4 linked regions of the Saccharomyces cerevisiae S288C genome follow. The protein of the gene in region 1 interacts with the protein of each later gene in a biochemical or structural test. Each region holds a gene or a part of one and is shown in the gene's direction. Other genes may lie near its edges.

The links.
Region 2: the proteins of HHF2 (region 1) and RTT109 form a complex in vitro, tested with the Saccharomyces cerevisiae proteins (2 studies listed by BioGRID, with this or other methods).
Region 3: of the proteins of HHF2 (region 1) and ESA1, one has a biochemical effect on the other in vitro, tested with the Saccharomyces cerevisiae proteins (6 studies listed by BioGRID).
Region 4: the proteins of HHF2 (region 1) and SIR3 form a complex in vitro, tested with the Saccharomyces cerevisiae proteins (8 studies listed by BioGRID, with this or other methods).

What each region holds. Positions count from the first base shown.
Region 1 is NC_001146.8:575,208-577,538, forward strand, and holds HHF2 (histone H4), read left to right. Parts: upstream 1-1,519; coding exon 1,520-1,831; downstream 1,832-2,331. Other genes in the region: putative tyrosine protein phosphatase SIW14, read left to right, coding at 1-144; HHT2 (histone H3), read right to left, coding at 433-843; KTR5 (putative mannosyltransferase), read right to left, coding at 1,998-2,331. UniProt on the Saccharomyces cerevisiae protein: Core component of nucleosome. Nucleosomes wrap and compact DNA into chromatin, limiting DNA accessibility to the cellular machineries which require DNA as a template.
Region 2 is NC_001144.5:143,701-148,619, forward strand, and holds RTT109 (H3 histone acetyltransferase RTT109), read left to right. Parts: upstream 1-2,590; coding exon 2,591-3,901; downstream 3,902-4,919. Other genes in the region: SFI1 (Sfi1p), read left to right, coding at 1-2,341; dynamin-related GTPase DNM1, read left to right, coding at 4,190-4,919. UniProt on the Saccharomyces cerevisiae protein: Histone chaperone-dependent acetylase that modifies 'Lys-9', 'Lys-14', 'Lys-23', 'Lys-27', and 'Lys-56' on histone H3 (H3K9Ac, H3K14Ac and H3K23Ac, H3K27Ac, and H3K56Ac) to promote nucleosome assembly, genomic stability, DNA repair and transcriptional regulation during mitotic S-phase.
Region 3 is NC_001147.6:790,157-795,082, forward strand, and holds ESA1 (NuA4 histone acetyltransferase complex catalytic subunit ESA1), read left to right. Parts: upstream 1-2,374; coding exon 2,375-3,712; downstream 3,713-4,926. Other genes in the region: pseudouridine synthase PUS7, read right to left, coding at 55-2,085; DGA1 (diacylglycerol O-acyltransferase), read right to left, coding at 3,920-4,926. UniProt on the Saccharomyces cerevisiae protein: Catalytic component of the NuA4 histone acetyltransferase (HAT), a multiprotein complex involved in epigenetic transcriptional activation of selected genes principally by acetylation of nucleosomal histones H4, H3, H2B, H2A and H2A variant H2A.Z.
Region 4 is NC_001144.5:1,018,341-1,024,884, reverse strand, and holds SIR3 (chromatin-silencing protein SIR3), read left to right. Parts: upstream 1-2,633; coding exon 2,634-5,570; downstream 5,571-6,544. Other genes in the region: GMC2 (Gmc2p), read right to left, coding at 48-230, 313-696; ECM7 (Ecm7p), read right to left, coding at 914-2,260; 40S ribosomal protein eS1 RPS1A, read left to right, coding at 5,977-6,544.

The sequences.
Region 1 (2,331 bases):
TCGCTAACGATGATTTTTGATGAGTACAGACGTTTCGCATTTCCGAAGGCCAGGGCGCTTGATCAGCAGTTCATCGAGATGTATGACGATGACGAAATTAAGAGGATTGCTAGTAAAAACAACTGGTTGCCTCTACAATGGTAATATGTAGACAGTGATTACCTTTACGTAACTAGTCTCTTCGAAAATGATGTTTATTGATAATTATTATACATGGTTTCTTGCCGGTTATAAAATTACGTATACTATCTAAGCATCTAAAAATTAGCCCCGCAATTATGTCTGTAAACGATAAATTACAGCATATATACCCTCCTCATGTCGTTAAAAGCATTGCGAATAGATAGATGAATAATGTATTAAAAAAGGAGATGTTTGTATGATGTCCCCCCAGTCTAAATGCATAGAAAAAAAAAAATTCCCGCTTTATATTCATGATCTTTCACCTCTTAGTCTTCTGGCCAATTTGATATCCTTCTTTTGGATAGTAACACGCTTAGCGTGAATAGCAGCCAGATTAGTGTCTTCAAACAAAGAGACTAAGTATGCTTCGACGGATTCTTGCAAAGCACCGATAGCAGAAGATTGAAATCTCAAGTCGGTCTTGAAATCTTGAGCGATTTCTCTGACCAATCTTTGGAAAGGTAACTTTCTGATCAACAGTTCAGTAGATTTTTGGAATCTTCTAATTTCTCTCAAGGCAACAGTACCTGGCTTATATCTGTGAGGCTTCTTAACACCACCGGTAGATGGGGCGGATTTTCTGGCAGCCTTGGAGGCTAATTGTTTTCTTGGGGCTTTACCACCAGTGGATTTTCTAGCTGTTTGTTTAGTTCTGGCCATTGTGGAGTGTTTGCTTGGATCCTTTAGTAAAAGGGGAAGAACAGTTGGAAGGGCCAAAGTGGAAGTCACAAAACAGTGGTCCTATATAAAAGAACAAGAAAAAGATTATTTATATACAACTGCGGTCACAAGAAGCAACGCGAGAGAGCACAACACGCTGTTATCACGCAAACTATGTTTTGACACCGAGCCATAGCCGTGATTGTGCGTCACATTGGGCGATAATGAACGCTAAATGACCAACTCCCATCCGTAGGAGCCCCTTAGGGCGTGCCAATAGTTTCACGCGCTTAATGCGAAGTGCTCGGAACGGACAACTGTGGTCGTTTGGCACCGGGAAAGTGGTACTAGACCGAGAGTTTCGCATTTGTATGGCAGGACGTTCTGGGAGCTTCGCGTCTCAAGCTTTTTCGGGCGCGAAATGCAGACCAGACCAGAACAAAACAACTGACAAGAAGGCGTTTAATTTAATATGTTGTTCACTCGCGCCTGGGCTGTTGTTATTCGGCTAGATACATACGTGTTTGTGCGTATGTAGTTATATCATATATAAGTATATTAGGATGAGGCGGTGAAAGAGATTTTTTTTTTTTCGCTTAATTTATTCTTTTCTCTATCTTTTTTCCTACATCTTGTTCAAAAGAGTAGCAAAAACAACAATCAATACAATAAAATAATGTCCGGTAGAGGTAAAGGTGGTAAAGGTCTAGGAAAAGGTGGTGCCAAGCGTCACAGAAAGATTCTAAGAGATAACATTCAAGGTATCACTAAGCCAGCTATCAGAAGATTAGCTAGAAGAGGTGGTGTCAAGCGTATTTCTGGTTTGATCTACGAAGAAGTCAGAGCCGTCTTGAAATCCTTCTTGGAATCCGTCATCAGGGACTCTGTTACTTACACTGAACACGCCAAGAGAAAGACTGTTACTTCTTTGGATGTTGTTTATGCTTTGAAGAGACAAGGTAGAACCTTATATGGTTTCGGTGGTTAAACAATCGGTGGTTAAACAATCGGTGTTTGAAATTATTTTCATGCCTTTCAAAAAATAAAATAACGATCATTCTATTGGGAATATAATAGAACCTTATGTATGCATTTTTCGGTTTTTTATTATTTCATGTACTATATATATTAAAAATAAGTCTCAATAAAAGAAACTAGTTTCCGAACTGTCTTAGATAGTCTTCCCTTATGTGCTCCTCCATTTCATTGCCGTTGAGTGCTTCGACGTGGCGTTCGTGTCCCCTCTGTTGGTTAAGCAGATTTACCCAAATATTTACGCAGAAACCCATGGAATCCTCAATTTCACGCTTTTTCTTGGGACATCTGCACCTGCAGCCACACCCAAATTCCCTTCCCTCGTCGTAGGCCGCGTTTTTACGTTTGAATTTTGAGTCACTGGCTAAGTAGGAGAATTCCTCATTCCCCATGGCATTATGTGGACAATGCTGTATTGTGGAGTGTCTATATCCGATGTCTCTAAAATAGTGT
Region 2 (4,919 bases), on another chromosome or scaffold:
TTTCACTTTCAATTCTGTTATAGAAGAGATTTTAGAAATATTTTTAATCCACCCTCGCAACAAATTCATTGCATTGTCCCTTGCAGAATATACCTACGCTAAGAACAAAATCAGAAGACATTTTAATCACTGGAAGACTGTATGTGAATTGAATGAAGAGGCAAACAGGTTTGCAAATCAAGCAAAGCTGAGGGTACAGGAAGCCGTCTTCTATATTTGGAGTGATAAAACATTAAAATACTCACAGATGGCCAACGATGAAGCTGAAAGTTTTAGGAATACTTGGCTACTATTTCGCTCGTTCCAACAATGGATAACTTTAACACAAACTCTTAAGGAGCAGTCAAGGTTAGCAGATCAGGCCTTTTTGAATAAGATGTTTAGGAAAATTTTAAAGGCACAAGAGCATTGGAAACACTTAGAAACTGTTAACACTGACAACATTAAGAAGATATTTTTACGAACAACATTTCATATATGGAAGCTAAGACATAAAGAAATAAACTACCACGGGTTGGAAAGAAGGATTTTCGAAAGAATAAAACAGAAAGTTATAAACTATGAATACAATAAGAGCATTGCAGAAAAAGTGAGGTCGTTTTCTCTACAAAGAAAATATCTGAATAAATGGGAAAAGAAAAACATTGAAAACGAAGATAAACTTGGGGCACTTTATGAACTGGAGAATAAATTCATCAAACAAAAGTTTTTTCGCAAATTAAACCGGTCATTTCAACATAGTCAACAAGAGGCAATTGCAAAGAGTAAACTAAATCAGACACTTTTGAGGTGCGTTTTTGAGAAGATGTGGCTGAAAAGATTCGAAGACCATCTGCATTTGTATTCAATTGTAAGTCTAAAAGAGGCTAACCTCGTGAAGCGTATTTTTCATTCATGGAAAAAACTTCTATATATTGACCTCAAAGCAAGCGATTATTCGAGGACTAATTTGCTCAAGTCATCATTGCGAAGTTGGAAACTTGAAGTAAAGTTAAAAATATTTGAGCAGAAATGTAAAAAGAGTATTCAAGCAAGCGCGTATCGTACATGGAGGAAAAGAATACAGTATGGGAAAATATCGAGCGAACATGTTAAAACGGCATTTTGTGCAAAATATCTTGGTGTGTGGAAAAGGAGGATGCTACAAATGAATTCTATGAATGACGAAGCATCCAAATTTTACGAAGAGGGTCTCGTAAATGAGTGTCTAGCTATATGGAAAGAACGCCTGATTAAAACTAAGGAATTGGAGGATAGATACAATTTCTTATGTAAGACACATGCAATTTTGACTGTAAAACGGACGCTAATGCATATTGATAATGTTCATTTGCTATATACGAAACTGGCGCCCTCTATGGATAGAGTAAAGCTTTCTAAGGCCTTTTTAAAGTGGCGGAAAGCCACAAGGTTCAAAGTCAGGCATAAGTTAAACGATATTTTACACGTTTATGAAAAGAGTAAAGAGCGCGAACTTCAAAGCCAACTGTTCAACGCTTGGCGAAATAGATTTTGCTTCTACACAGAAGAATGTAACATTCAGGCTATTTCAAAGAGAAACTACCAGCTTGAAAAAATGGTGCTGAAGAAATTTAGAGAAAGACTTTTAGAGATAGTAAAATCAGAAGAATTAGCAGACGAAGTTCGCGAAGAATTTGTGTTAGTCAAGACGTTTTATATTTGGAAAACTCATCTAGACGAAATATTTTATATGAGTACATTATTGGAACAATCGGAAGCTAATAAACAATTCATAATTACATCCAAATTCTTGAAAATGTGGAGTCTTCGATTCCTAAAAATTAAGCGTAATGATGAGACAGTCGAGGTGTTTCGTCATCGGTGGGACAGGGCCACTGTAAGGGGATTGTTATTATTATGGAAAAATCGTTCAGACAGTTCTCCAAAGAGAAGGAAGGACTTCAATCTTAAACATGAACTAAAAACTCCCATAAGATCAGACTCTCAAAACGCCTCAACCATACCAGGCTCAGAAAGAATAAAGCAGCACAGAATGGAAGCGATGAAGTCGCATTATAGCAGGGCAAGAAGAGCCATACCAAGTCCGGTGAAATCTTCCAGTGTTCTTGATTCTACAGCTAAAAAACAGATCAACCTTGAAAGTACGACAGGCTTAAACGGATCTCCGACGCGAGGAAAACCTCTAAGGTATTCTCCTAGGCGTACCACTAGAAACATGCCATCCAAAGTTGACCATATTGATTTTGGCAGAATACCCGCTGTACCTTTTAGCCTAAGCGCCAATTCTCCTAAAATCGATCAAGATATGGATTATATAAGAGAGCATGATAAATCCCCGTTAAGTCGTAAACGTCAATAGATATATATATTATGTACGTATGTATGTGTGCATATGTAGTCGTAACCTTTCTTGCTTCTGAGATGCATACAATTACTAATAATATTCTCCAGGTCTATGAAAACATCACAACATACTATACTTTTCGTGTTCGCGTTGTAAGCTATAATGGAAAATGGACGCCATAACGCATTACTTAACAAACTACAGTTTGTCAATAGAGTTGTCCAGTAGAGTTAAAAGGTCAATTCAACCGGTCTTCAATAAGACATGTCACTGAATGACTTCCTAAGTTCCGTGCTACCTGTCAGTGAACAATTTGAATACTTATCGTTGCAATCTATTCCGTTAGAAACCCATGCTGTCGTAACCCCAAATAAGGACGACAAAAGGGTCCCAAAAAGCACGATCAAGACTCAACACTTCTTTAGTCTATTTCACCAAGGAAAAGTTTTTTTTTCATTAGAAGTGTATGTGTATGTCACGCTTTGGGATGAAGCAGATGCCGAACGGTTAATATTTGTATCAAAGGCAGACACTAATGGTTATTGTAATACGAGGGTAAGCGTTAGAGATATTACAAAAATAATATTAGAATTTATATTATCAATCGACCCGAATTACTATCTTCAAAAAGTAAAACCGGCAATAAGATCATATAAGAAGATATCCCCCGAGCTGATTAGCGCAGCCAGTACGCCAGCAAGAACTTTAAGGATTTTGGCTAGAAGGCTTAAACAGTCAGGCAGCACCGTTTTGAAAGAAATAGAATCTCCACGTTTTCAACAAGATCTTTATCTCTCATTCACCTGTCCTCGTGAGATTTTGACCAAAATTTGTTTATTTACTAGACCTGCATCCCAGTACCTCTTCCCAGATTCTTCAAAAAACAGCAAAAAGCATATACTAAATGGCGAGGAACTAATGAAATGGTGGGGCTTTATTTTGGATAGATTACTAATTGAATGCTTTCAAAATGATACACAAGCAAAATTAAGGATACCGGGCGAAGATCCTGCTCGAGTAAGATCATACCTAAGAGGGATGAAATATCCACTATGGCAAGTGGGTGATATATTTACCTCTAAAGAAAATTCTCTTGCGGTATATAATATTCCATTATTCCCAGACGATCCTAAGGCTAGATTTATACACCAATTGGCAGAGGAAGATCGCCTCCTCAAAGTAAGCTTATCATCCTTCTGGATTGAACTACAAGAGCGTCAAGAGTTCAAATTAAGTGTCACATCATCTGTAATGGGTATTTCGGGATACTCTCTTGCCACTCCATCTTTATTTCCATCTAGTGCCGATGTTATTGTACCGAAGTCAAGGAAGCAGTTTAGGGCAATCAAGAAGTACATTACTGGAGAGGAATACGATACAGAGGAAGGCGCAATAGAAGCTTTCACCAATATTCGTGATTTTCTATTGCTCAGAATGGCAACAAATCTTCAATCTTTAACAGGGAAGAGGGAGCATCGGGAGAGAAATCAGCCGGTTCCTGCAAGCAACATCAACACGTTGGCGATAACAATGCTAAAACCGCGTAAAAAAGCTAAAGCCTTGCCTAAAACTTGATACATATTGATATTTATTATTTAGTACACGTATGTAGCATCGATCTTAGAAAATGCATGTTTGTATTTATTGTTAGTACCTTGATCGCCACCTTTCTAGGTAATGATAGGTCCTCAACTTTTACTACGCGGTGCACGCCTGTAAGGTCGGGCAAAACAAAGTGTGGGAACAATAAATAAGAGGGTAGGATGAAATATTACCTTTACTCTACTGCTCAGGTTGGCCACAATTTGCTAAAGAGTTTATCATTAAGTAGCTACCAGCGAATCTAAATACGACGGATAAAGAATGGCTAGTTTAGAAGATCTTATTCCTACTGTCAACAAGCTGCAGGATGTTATGTACGACTCCGGGATCGATACACTCGATTTGCCCATTTTAGCTGTTGTTGGGTCACAATCCTCCGGGAAATCCTCGATATTGGAAACGTTAGTTGGAAGAGATTTTTTACCTAGGGGTACTGGTATTGTCACAAGAAGACCGTTAGTTCTTCAACTTAATAACATATCTCCAAATTCTCCTCTAATAGAGGAAGATGATAACTCAGTTAATCCACATGATGAAGTTACAAAAATATCAGGATTCGAAGCTGGTACGAAGCCCTTGGAGTATAGGGGCAAGGAAAGAAATCATGCAGATGAGTGGGGGGAATTCCTGCATATACCAGGAAAACGGTTTTATGATTTCGACGATATCAAAAGAGAAATCGAAAACGAAACAGCGAGGATAGCCGGTAAGGATAAGGGCATCAGTAAGATTCCGATTAATTTGAAAGTGTTTTCCCCTCATGTTTTGAATCTAACGCTAGTAGATTTGCCTGGGATTACAAAGGTTCCTATTGGGGAACAACCACCTGATATTGAAAAGCAAATCAAGAATTTGATCCTAGACTATATAGCCACTCCAAATTGTTTAATCTTGGCCGTCTCTCCAGCTAACGTTGATCTTGTTAATTCTGAATCCTTAAAGTTGGCCAGAGAGGTAGACCCTCAGGGCAAAAGGACTATTGGTGTCATTA
Region 3 (4,926 bases), on another chromosome or scaffold:
GCTTCCGACAAAAAAAGTAAACTAATATACATGAATATTGCACCTCGTATAACCTTAGATATTCTCCTTAACATCACACATGTCGCCACGGCGAGAAGTCTCAAGCTTCATGAGTTCACGTAATGCCATGGTGGCATATGCGGAGGTTCCTAATTGAAATTTTAACACCACCGCAGTCTTCTCACCGCCTTTATCTGGCATATATCTGTCCAACTTGGCTTTCATATACTTCTGGCCGCTTTCTTTTGCTCTGGTGTTATTCAGGATGTCCAAATCAGTGTTCACCAATTGTTGAGAAGGATCATCATAGTGAATTATTCTATACTCTAAACTCTTTGGCTTTTGAATAACAGTTCTATAAGAGCCAGCCAATGAAAAATCGCGAACTTTTCTTCTCATATTAAATGGGTCCATATTATCTGCTTTCAATATATCCACATACAGTTGCTTCAATTCTTCGTTGGAAGGATAAAGCACATCAAAACCCGGCGATGGTAACACGACATCTTCCATGGTATACTTAACTGAGTCGATATCCTCTTGAGTTACTGCTTTTGCACGAATGAACTGAGCTTCACGGACATCTTCATCAAAGTCTTCATCGTCAATCCCAGAAATTAGTGGTGACTTTTCACTAGTATCAATGACAAGGTCACCTACAACTAACTTCAAACCATGTAGTTCTATCCGCTTACTAGCAATAGAATTCCAGACGTAACTTTGGTAGGCATGTACATACATAGTTCTCAAATTTCTGGGAATTTTCATAATAGCAGTATAATAAGCGTTCTCAGAATAAGTTCCATCTTCTTCTTTTCTTTGATTAGATAAAGAATATAGTAACGCATTTTCTGCGAGACACTGTCTTGGCATCTGCTTCAATGCTAAAGCCGCGTCCTTAGTTTCTGCCCAAATCTTCCTAGCTTCCTTAGATTTAGGAAGCACGTTATCCTGGTCAGATAAAATCAACTCAGCAGCCTTCTTCCAGTTTGAAAGGAGCAATTCTCTACCAATTGTGTGCGTAGAAATACTGAATGTACCGAATCTCTGCATACCAAAATAATTGATAAACCCATTTTCTGATAAAGACTTACAGCCGTTAGACACAATTTCTTCCAGTGATACCTCACTATTGCCGGTGGTAACATCTCTAATAACAACAACGAACTCATTTCCCTTCAAGTCTCCCAGATTCAAACTTGCATCCGAAAAATTGTAATTTCCGATAATCATTCCTTTTAAAGTCCTATTTAAAGCATTTAGTCTATCCAAACCAATCTTTGAAATCGAAACCCTTTGGCACGTTACTGCTCTACGATCCTTAGTACCTGCATATCTAATTACACGGCTTGGAACTCTTAACAACTTTGTTATAACATTGACAGCTTCCATAGTATCCTTATTTTCTTTATGTAGAGTGAAGTGAATAAAATCTTTACTGGGACCATATCCCCAATTTTCTACACCGTTAGCGTCCCTGGTTTGGTTAATTTTCTCTTGTTTATTGGTTCTTGAATTTCTATTTGATCTTGCAATCTTAAAAGTGTTAGTATCAGTAGTCACAGATTCTAATTCATTTTTAAATGCCTCACGTAACAGTTGGTGAATTTTAGTTCTAACAGATTTATCTTCGAAATTTTTTGCCGTTTCCATTTTATTAGCCGTGCGATAAACGGATTCTATTTTCAATACATCTTCCTCACCAAATATCTCCACCAATTGATTTCTTAATTCGGGGTCGACGTTGAATTCTTGTCTTCTAGCTGCTTCAGACTCCTTTTCTGCATTGACCTCTTCTTTAGAGCGTTGTGGTTTCTTTGGCATTTTAAATCCTTTATCAGTTAAGTGAATGACCTTACCTTCTTGATCTATTTCGTTGACCAAAAAGTCAGTATAACGCTGCTTAATTTGGCCTCTAAATCCTGGCAATTCTGGAGATAAGAACAAAGTAATACCGACATCTGCTTCGTGAATACCATCTGCCTGAGTACGTTGCTCAATTTTCAACTTCTTTGCAGCATTTTCGGAAGGTCCTACGTGAGCATCAAGGGGTCTCTTTACAGTGGCTTCTGAGGAGTCAGACATGGCATGCAACAGATATTGCTTTTTTCCTTGGGAAGGAACAACGTGATTATAATTAATCGATGAGCTGTACCTATTGACTATTTCATCATTATTATAATGATGGAAAATTTTCCAAATTACTACCCGCCCGTTGAAAAGATGAAAACGGCTTCCGGCGGAGCAAATGCAAAACGAATATTGCTAAAAGGTGTATATTATTATAGTAATCAAAGGAGAATAGAAAAGAGCTTTACCATTCTTTAGACGCTTCCTGTGCTACCATTCTCGGAAATACTGCAAGAAATCATCGATGTCCCATGACGGAAAAGAAGAACCTGGTATTGCCAAAAAGATAAACTCAGTAGATGATATTATTATCAAATGTCAATGCTGGGTCCAAAAAAATGATGAAGAACGATTAGCTGAAATTTTATCCATAAACACAAGAAAAGCACCACCAAAATTCTATGTTCACTATGTTAATTACAACAAGCGTTTAGATGAGTGGATTACCACTGACAGAATAAACCTGGATAAAGAAGTACTATATCCGAAACTAAAGGCTACTGATGAAGATAATAAGAAACAAAAAAAGAAGAAGGCAACAAATACTAGTGAAACGCCACAAGACTCTCTGCAAGATGGTGTAGATGGTTTCTCAAGAGAAAATACGGATGTTATGGACTTAGATAATCTAAATGTACAGGGAATAAAAGATGAGAACATATCACACGAGGATGAGATAAAAAAGCTTAGAACCTCCGGCTCTATGACACAAAATCCACATGAGGTGGCTCGAGTTAGAAATCTCAATCGAATCATTATGGGGAAATATGAAATAGAACCATGGTACTTTTCTCCATATCCTATTGAATTAACTGATGAAGATTTTATATATATCGACGATTTCACGTTGCAGTATTTTGGATCTAAGAAACAATACGAACGCTACAGGAAGAAATGTACATTAAGACATCCGCCAGGAAATGAAATCTACAGAGACGATTATGTTTCATTCTTTGAAATCGATGGTAGAAAGCAAAGGACTTGGTGTCGAAACTTGTGTTTACTTTCCAAACTTTTCCTAGATCACAAAACATTATACTATGACGTTGATCCGTTTTTGTTTTATTGCATGACGAGACGAGATGAGTTGGGTCACCATCTGGTGGGATATTTTTCCAAGGAAAAAGAATCCGCGGATGGTTACAATGTTGCATGTATCTTAACACTACCACAATACCAAAGGATGGGATATGGTAAGTTATTGATTGAATTTTCGTATGAATTGTCGAAAAAGGAAAACAAAGTTGGTTCTCCCGAGAAACCTTTGTCTGATTTGGGTCTCTTATCCTATAGAGCCTATTGGTCGGACACTCTCATAACGCTATTAGTGGAACACCAGAAGGAAATTACTATAGACGAAATAAGCTCCATGACTTCGATGACCACTACAGATATATTACACACAGCAAAGACACTGAATATCCTGCGATATTACAAGGGTCAGCATATTATTTTCCTGAATGAAGATATTTTAGATAGGTACAATCGACTTAAAGCCAAAAAGAGAAGGACAATAGACCCTAATAGACTCATATGGAAACCACCGGTATTTACTGCCTCTCAGTTACGCTTTGCCTGGTAAGCTATGTAGTGCTTTCCTAAACTTACATTCAAACAACTTCTAATGTAAAAGCTTTAAATAAATGAAATTTACGTAAAACAATCACTAATATTCAACGAGAACTCCAGTATTCCTGTAAGTTAATACTCTTACTTAAGATATACAGCCCAAACACTAAAAAATCCTTATTTATTCTAACATATTTTGTGTTTTCCAATGAATTCATTATTACCCAACTATCTTCAATTCTGCATCCGGTACCCCATATTTTTCTCTATTTTCGTAATATAGTCTTTTCAACTCCGCAATATACAAATCATGGAAATGATTAACAACATCATCTGGCGGATTTGTTATTTTCTTTTCAACGTATATAGGCCTTCCAACAACAACATTGATAGGCGCTCTAAATGGCAACAAACCGAAATCGTAATTGAATAATCCTCTTGCGTAGAAAATGGGAATGGTAAAACCAAAGTTTTCTTTGAACCATAGTTGCATTTTACCCAGGACTGAATCTTTTTTTGTGCTCAGAACATTATAACAGTCCACCTCTCCAAATGCAAACACAGGCACTAGGTTAATATTCCCCGTTTGAATGGCCAGTTTAATAAAACCCTTTCTTTTGTTTAAAATCAGTTGTGTACCATTTGTTGAACTTAATAAAGATTCCCTAGCGCCACCAACAACAATGCAGATCGACTGATTTTTGCTTAGAGTCCTTAAAGCGTTTTTCCGAGATACTGAAGAAATACCTAACGCCAATAAGTAGTCTCTATACAATGGGATATGAAATTGTGTGACCAGTGTCATCAGAGAAATAGGAATACCTGGGAAAATCTTGGAATAGTTACAACCTTCTGTTGCAAACGCTCCAAACGCACCAAGTGCTCCTATGCCGTGTGGATGGTAACCAAATAAGTACGTTGGCCCTGTACATTCCTGGTTGCGATAGTCAATAGTAGAGTTGCTTTTGAGATTAATGGAATACTTAGTTGGCCACAATCTAATCTTGTAATTTTTTTCGTTAACTCTCTTATTTTTTGAAAGCGTAAAAGTTGGTTTTAAATTGACAGTTTTAATCAAACTTATAGGGAAATAATCACAATACCACTTCCAAATGGGCAATGAACGAAATCGAAGAGAGTATCGATTTACCACTTCGCCAGTTGCAGGAGACCTATCGAAAAAAAAATAAATCATATATGGAATAGCAAGAACCCACAGTGCTGGTG
Region 4 (6,544 bases), on another chromosome or scaffold:
GAGAAATAGCTAACATTAGCAATATCGCAGATATATTTGAGTATGGCTCATCTATCATCTGTTAGTCTTTGAATAGTTTCCTTAATTTCATTTGCGGATCTTTCCATTTCAATATTTTTGTACTCTAAATGGCGCTCTTTCTTCTTCATCCACGTTTCAGCATTGAGAATGGAGTCACCACATCTTTCCACGTCTATTTGAAAAGCGGATTCACACCAAAGACGTTGTTGCTGTTATTAAATTTGCATTATTAGTAAAAGAACGTAGTAAAATTGAGATGGCACAGGATGCCTAGTTTCGACCTATACTTACTTTTGCTAGCCTTTCCATTTTTTCATATATTTCGTCCATGTCTTTTGTATATTGCTCAATAATGTTTACAGGAACAGTACAAAACAAATCCCAATCCATCTTTTCCTGTTGTTGTTTGGACATCATCCCATCTTGACTGGAGAGGTCTTTGTACGATTCCCGGATCAAATGAGTGATTTCATTAATTTTCTTGAGTACATCATTTTCCAGGATATGGTTTTGGAAGGTTTCCTGTGGATTGTTGATTTGCCATTCGGCGGCTAATTTGAAAAGACTTGGTATATTGTTGGTCACGTCCGGACTTTTTAATGAGTTGGTTCTTTCCAAGTTATTATCCTGGTCGTTCTCAGATGATTGCCTAGGGACTTCCGTAGTATCACTCATGGTTATAGTTCCGCTTTTCTCTTCTTCGTTGCTTAATGATGTTTAGTTCTGAAATAACGATTTTTTAAGCGCTTGGCAATTTCACAAGAAAAAGGTGAAAAAAGAAAAATAAGATTAAACGATGAATGCGATTTTTTGTTTCTGTTATTATTATTATATAATTAAAAACTAGACAAATATAGTATGCATATGCATTTTGAATGATGGGTGAAAGAATTCAAAACTGTAATGCTGACGAAGGCTTGATAACCCTTTGCATACTTTCTTCACTGTCGTTGCTTGACCGGAATCTTATGTCCTGCAATTCGAATTCCTCTCTAGTAGCAAATGGTTCGTGTTTGCCGCCATTGCTTATATTTGCGGTGGGATTTCCATGGTCTAAACTGGTGTTAGCATCATTTTCACTATTTAAGTCAACATCAGATGTTTTTCTTATTGTTGCCATAGTATCACTGTTTCTCATCAGTTCAGCCTCGCCCGAAGTAGACTGTCGTTGCGGATAACGTTGACTGTAAGAAGTTTCATCGTCTAGATCTGCATCAGTAAATACACCGGCTTGGTAGCCTAAGAATTTATCATCGATTCCACCTCCATAGGACGTGCCATTATCGGAAATACACCATTCTAAGCCAGACCAAGCTAAGCATGACACAGAAATCAAACCTGCAAAACACCACAGAAGCGCAAACCATGTAACTCCAAGATGGTAAGAAAACCCGAAGGCCTCTAATTCTGTATTAATTCTAGACTGAATAGTGTAGTTAACCCAGGCAAGGCTTATGCTACTTATCAGGCCCCCAATGAAAACAACTAGCGATAGTAGAGAGTTGATATGAACAAGTGCCCTTTCTTTGAGGGCGTTCATAAACCTTCCCTTTATGTAGTAGTACCATATCATGAAAAATAACATACACACCTGGAAACTAATAACTGCATAGAGTAAATGTAACACGTTGGCCTTTTTATGTTTTAAACTCCTCATGTAGGTCGTGTATGCAGAACTTTCTGCCTGTTGTGAACCGATTTTGTTGTATGCATAATCTAAAATGATATCTAAACCCAAGCTTTCTAAAACCTCACGATAATCAAAAAGATAGTCCGTTCCTATGCTACTGCAGGTACTCTTAGTAGTCGAATTCTTTACGCTATGCATATTTCCTTCAGAGTCGAATACTTCCACCATGGTATATGTTGAATCGCACCTCCCATAAAGCGACACTGTGATGTACTGAGGAACATTCTTTATCTGACTTTCGGTGTAAGCAGTCAATATATACAGTTCGGATGTTGTTAAGCCTACACCGTTATTTTCTTCTGTAGATGTCGACTGCTCCATAGACTCTCTCAACACGGTAAATAAACCCGTCGTAATATCAGCAGAGTAAGTATCCAGTCGTGACATGTACAATGTTCTTGGCGAAGAAAGGGGTCCGACAGTCAACGCCAACCCGAAAGAGATTATGAGTAATGTCGTCCCTAATCTTAGCCACTGTACCACTTTCTCAAGGGCTGTAAGGTTCTGGAATGGCCTGGCTATTGTATCTCGTATTCTTGACATCACCATTTATTTTCGATCCATTAGATATGCAAGGGTATTCGCAATGACTGATACACAAAGAAATGGTGTAAATGAAACTAAGTAGAGAGTTGACAGTGTTAAGCAAACAACGAATCCAGGGGAACAAAGTATTCGGGACGTTTGTTTATGCGGCGTCCAAAAGATGTATTTAAAGTTAACCATATTATGTATCAATCTAAATAAAGAAATAATTGTAAATTTTCATCGCATCAGTAATATGACCGCGAAAACGCTATTCTTTCCAAAAAAGTTAAAATGAACATAGTATGAAAAAGAAAAACACATAAGCAGCCCTTTCATCACCTTCCTTACAGGGGTTTAAGAAAGTTGTTTTGTTCTAACAATTGGATTAGCTAAAATGGCTAAAACATTGAAAGATTTGGACGGTTGGCAAGTTATCATTACAGATGATCAGGGGAGGGTTATTGACGACAACAATAGAAGAAGATCAAGAAAAAGAGGAGGAGAAAACGTATTTCTGAAAAGAATTTCTGATGGATTGAGTTTTGGGAAGGGTGAGAGCGTGATATTTAATGATAATGTGACGGAAACATATTCTGTCTACTTGATCCATGAGATCAGACTCAATACACTTAATAATGTTGTGGAGATTTGGGTTTTTTCTTACTTGAGATGGTTTGAACTCAAACCAAAACTGTACTACGAACAATTCAGGCCAGATCTAATAAAGGAAGATCATCCTTTAGAATTTTACAAAGATAAATTTTTCAACGAAGTAAATAAGAGCGAGTTATATTTAACTGCTGAGCTATCAGAGATTTGGCTTAAGGATTTCATTGCAGTTGGACAGATACTGCCAGAGTCACAATGGAATGATAGTAGTATCGATAAAATAGAGGATAGAGATTTTCTAGTACGTTATGCATGCGAACCTACTGCGGAAAAGTTTGTACCAATTGATATTTTTCAAATCATAAGAAGAGTAAAGGAAATGGAACCCAAACAATCTGATGAATACTTGAAAAGAGTATCTGTACCAGTGAGTGGGCAGAAGACAAATAGACAGGTGATGCATAAGATGGGAGTTGAAAGATCTTCAAAAAGACTAGCAAAGAAACCTTCAATGAAAAAAATTAAAATCGAGCCCTCTGCAGATGATGACGTAAATAATGGAAATATACCGTCTCAGCGAGGAACGTCAACAACTCATGGTTCAATTTCTCCCCAAGAAGAGTCTGTTTCCCCTAACATCTCATCGGCGTCCCCTTCTGCGCTCACATCACCTACAGATTCTTCGAAAATTTTACAAAAAAGATCTATATCAAAGGAACTAATTGTTTCAGAGGAAATACCAATAAACTCTTCAGAACAGGAATCCGATTATGAGCCAAACAATGAAACATCTGTGCTTTCAAGTAAACCTGGGTCAAAGCCAGAGAAGACATCTACAGAACTCGTTGACGGCCGAGAGAATTTTGTATATGCAAATAATCCAGAAGTGAGTGATGATGGTGGGCTTGAAGAGGAAACAGATGAAGTTAGTTCAGAAAGTTCTGATGAAGCAATAATACCAGTAAATAAAAGACGTGGCGCTCACGGAAGCGAATTGAGCAGTAAAATTAGAAAAATCCACATTCAAGAAACACAAGAATTTTCTAAAAATTACACTACAGAAACAGATAACGAAATGAACGGAAATGGAAAACCTGGAATTCCCAGGGGCAACACCAAAATTCATAGTATGAACGAAAATCCTACACCAGAAAAAGGTAATGCAAAGATGATTGATTTCGCTACTTTGTCAAAGTTGAAAAAAAAATATCAGATAATTTTAGACCGGTTTGCACCAGATAATCAAGTAACAGATTCCTCCCAATTGAACAAATTAACAGACGAACAGTCAAGCTTGGACGTTGCAGGCCTTGAGGATAAGTTTAGAAAAGCATGCTCTTCATCTGGAAGAGAAACCATTCTGTCAAATTTTAACGCTGATATAAATTTAGAGGAATCAATTAGAGAATCTTTACAAAAGAGAGAACTACTAAAATCACAAGTGGAGGATTTTACAAGAATATTCCTTCCGATTTACGACAGTTTGATGTCTTCCCAAAATAAACTATTTTATATTACCAATGCAGATGATTCTACTAAATTCCAGCTTGTGAATGATGTAATGGATGAGTTGATCACCTCTTCGGCCCGAAAGGAACTACCTATTTTCGATTACATTCATATTGATGCCTTGGAACTGGCAGGAATGGATGCATTATATGAGAAAATATGGTTCGCCATTTCTAAAGAAAATCTATGCGGTGATATATCACTAGAGGCCTTAAACTTCTATATTACAAATGTCCCGAAAGCAAAAAAGAGAAAGACACTAATATTAATACAAAATCCGGAAAATCTATTGAGTGAGAAGATTTTACAATATTTCGAGAAATGGATTTCTTCGAAAAATTCAAAATTGTCTATCATTTGCGTTGGCGGACATAATGTGACGATTAGAGAGCAAATAAATATAATGCCCTCCCTCAAAGCACACTTTACCGAAATCAAACTTAATAAGGTGGACAAGAATGAATTGCAACAAATGATCATCACGCGACTCAAATCTTTATTGAAACCTTTTCATGTCAAAGTAAATGATAAGAAGGAAATGACTATTTACAATAATATTCGCGAAGGACAGAACCAGAAAATACCAGATAATGTGATAGTAATCAATCATAAGATCAACAACAAAATCACTCAACTTATTGCAAAGAACGTAGCCAACGTAAGTGGTAGTACTGAAAAAGCATTCAAAATATGTGAAGCTGCCGTAGAAATTTCTAAAAAAGACTTCGTACGGAAAGGTGGTCTACAAAAGGGTAAATTGGTAGTGTCACAGGAGATGGTACCACGCTATTTCTCAGAAGCTATTAACGGATTCAAGGATGAAACTATTTCAAAGAAGATTATAGGAATGTCTCTGTTGATGAGAACATTTTTATATACCCTGGCGCAAGAAACCGAAGGCACGAATCGTCATACGCTTGCTCTGGAGACCGTCCTGATTAAGATGGTGAAGATGTTGCGGGACAACCCAGGGTACAAGGCGTCAAAAGAAATTAAGAAGGTCATATGCGGTGCCTGGGAGCCCGCAATAACTATAGAGAAACTAAAGCAATTTTCTTGGATAAGTGTAGTGAATGATTTAGTGGGAGAAAAATTAGTTGTTGTGGTGCTCGAGGAGCCCAGTGCAAGCATTATGGTAGAACTAAAACTTCCTTTAGAAATAAATTACGCCTTTTCGATGGATGAAGAATTCAAAAATATGGACTGCATTTGACCACCAACATTCATTTTCACTTCCGCCATAGATATGCCTATGTACACATGCAGTCTCTTCTGTATTCCTTAATAATGTAACCATAACTGTTTACTTACTAAAACCTAATCAAACTTCAGGACAGTTTTCTGTTGTGGACCCAGACCCACGGAAACGTTGAAACCCAAACATTAATATATTTTATTTTTTTTTTTTTTTCGGTTAATGAAAAACTAACTTTTTATTGTGCACTACGGATGCCTCGCGTCACCATCCGCTGGAAATTCCAGGACTCTCTCACCTGCGCGATAATATACCCAAAATGACTAGATGTCACAACTATTCTATTAAGAAAGGAAGGTGTTCACGTTGTGAACTTTAATATTAAGGAAACAAAACAAGCACACGAATAACCAATCGTTTAATCATGGCTGTCGGAAAGAATAAGAGACTATCCAAGGGTAAGAAAGGTCAAAAGAAGAGAGTCGTTGACCCATTTACCAGAAAGGAATGGTTCGACATTAAAGCTCCATCCACTTTTGAAAACAGAAATGTTGGTAAGACTTTAGTTAACAAGTCCACTGGTTTGAAGAGTGCTTCAGATGCTTTGAAAGGTAGAGTTGTCGAAGTTTGCTTGGCTGACTTACAGGGTTCTGAAGACCACTCTTTCAGAAAAATCAAATTAAGAGTTGACGAAGTCCAAGGTAAGAATTTATTGACCAACTTCCACGGTATGGACTTCACTACTGATAAATTGAGATCCATGGTTAGAAAGTGGCAAACTTTGATCGAAGCTAACGTTACTGTTAAGACTTCTGATGATTACGTTTTGAGAATCTTTGCTATCGCCTTCACCAGAAAGCAAGCTAACCAAGTTAAGAGACACTCTTACGCTCAATCTTCCCATATCAGAGCTATCAGAAAGGTTATTTCCGAAATCTTGACTAAGGAAGTTCAAGGATCTACCTTGGCCCAATTGACCTCCAAGTTGATTC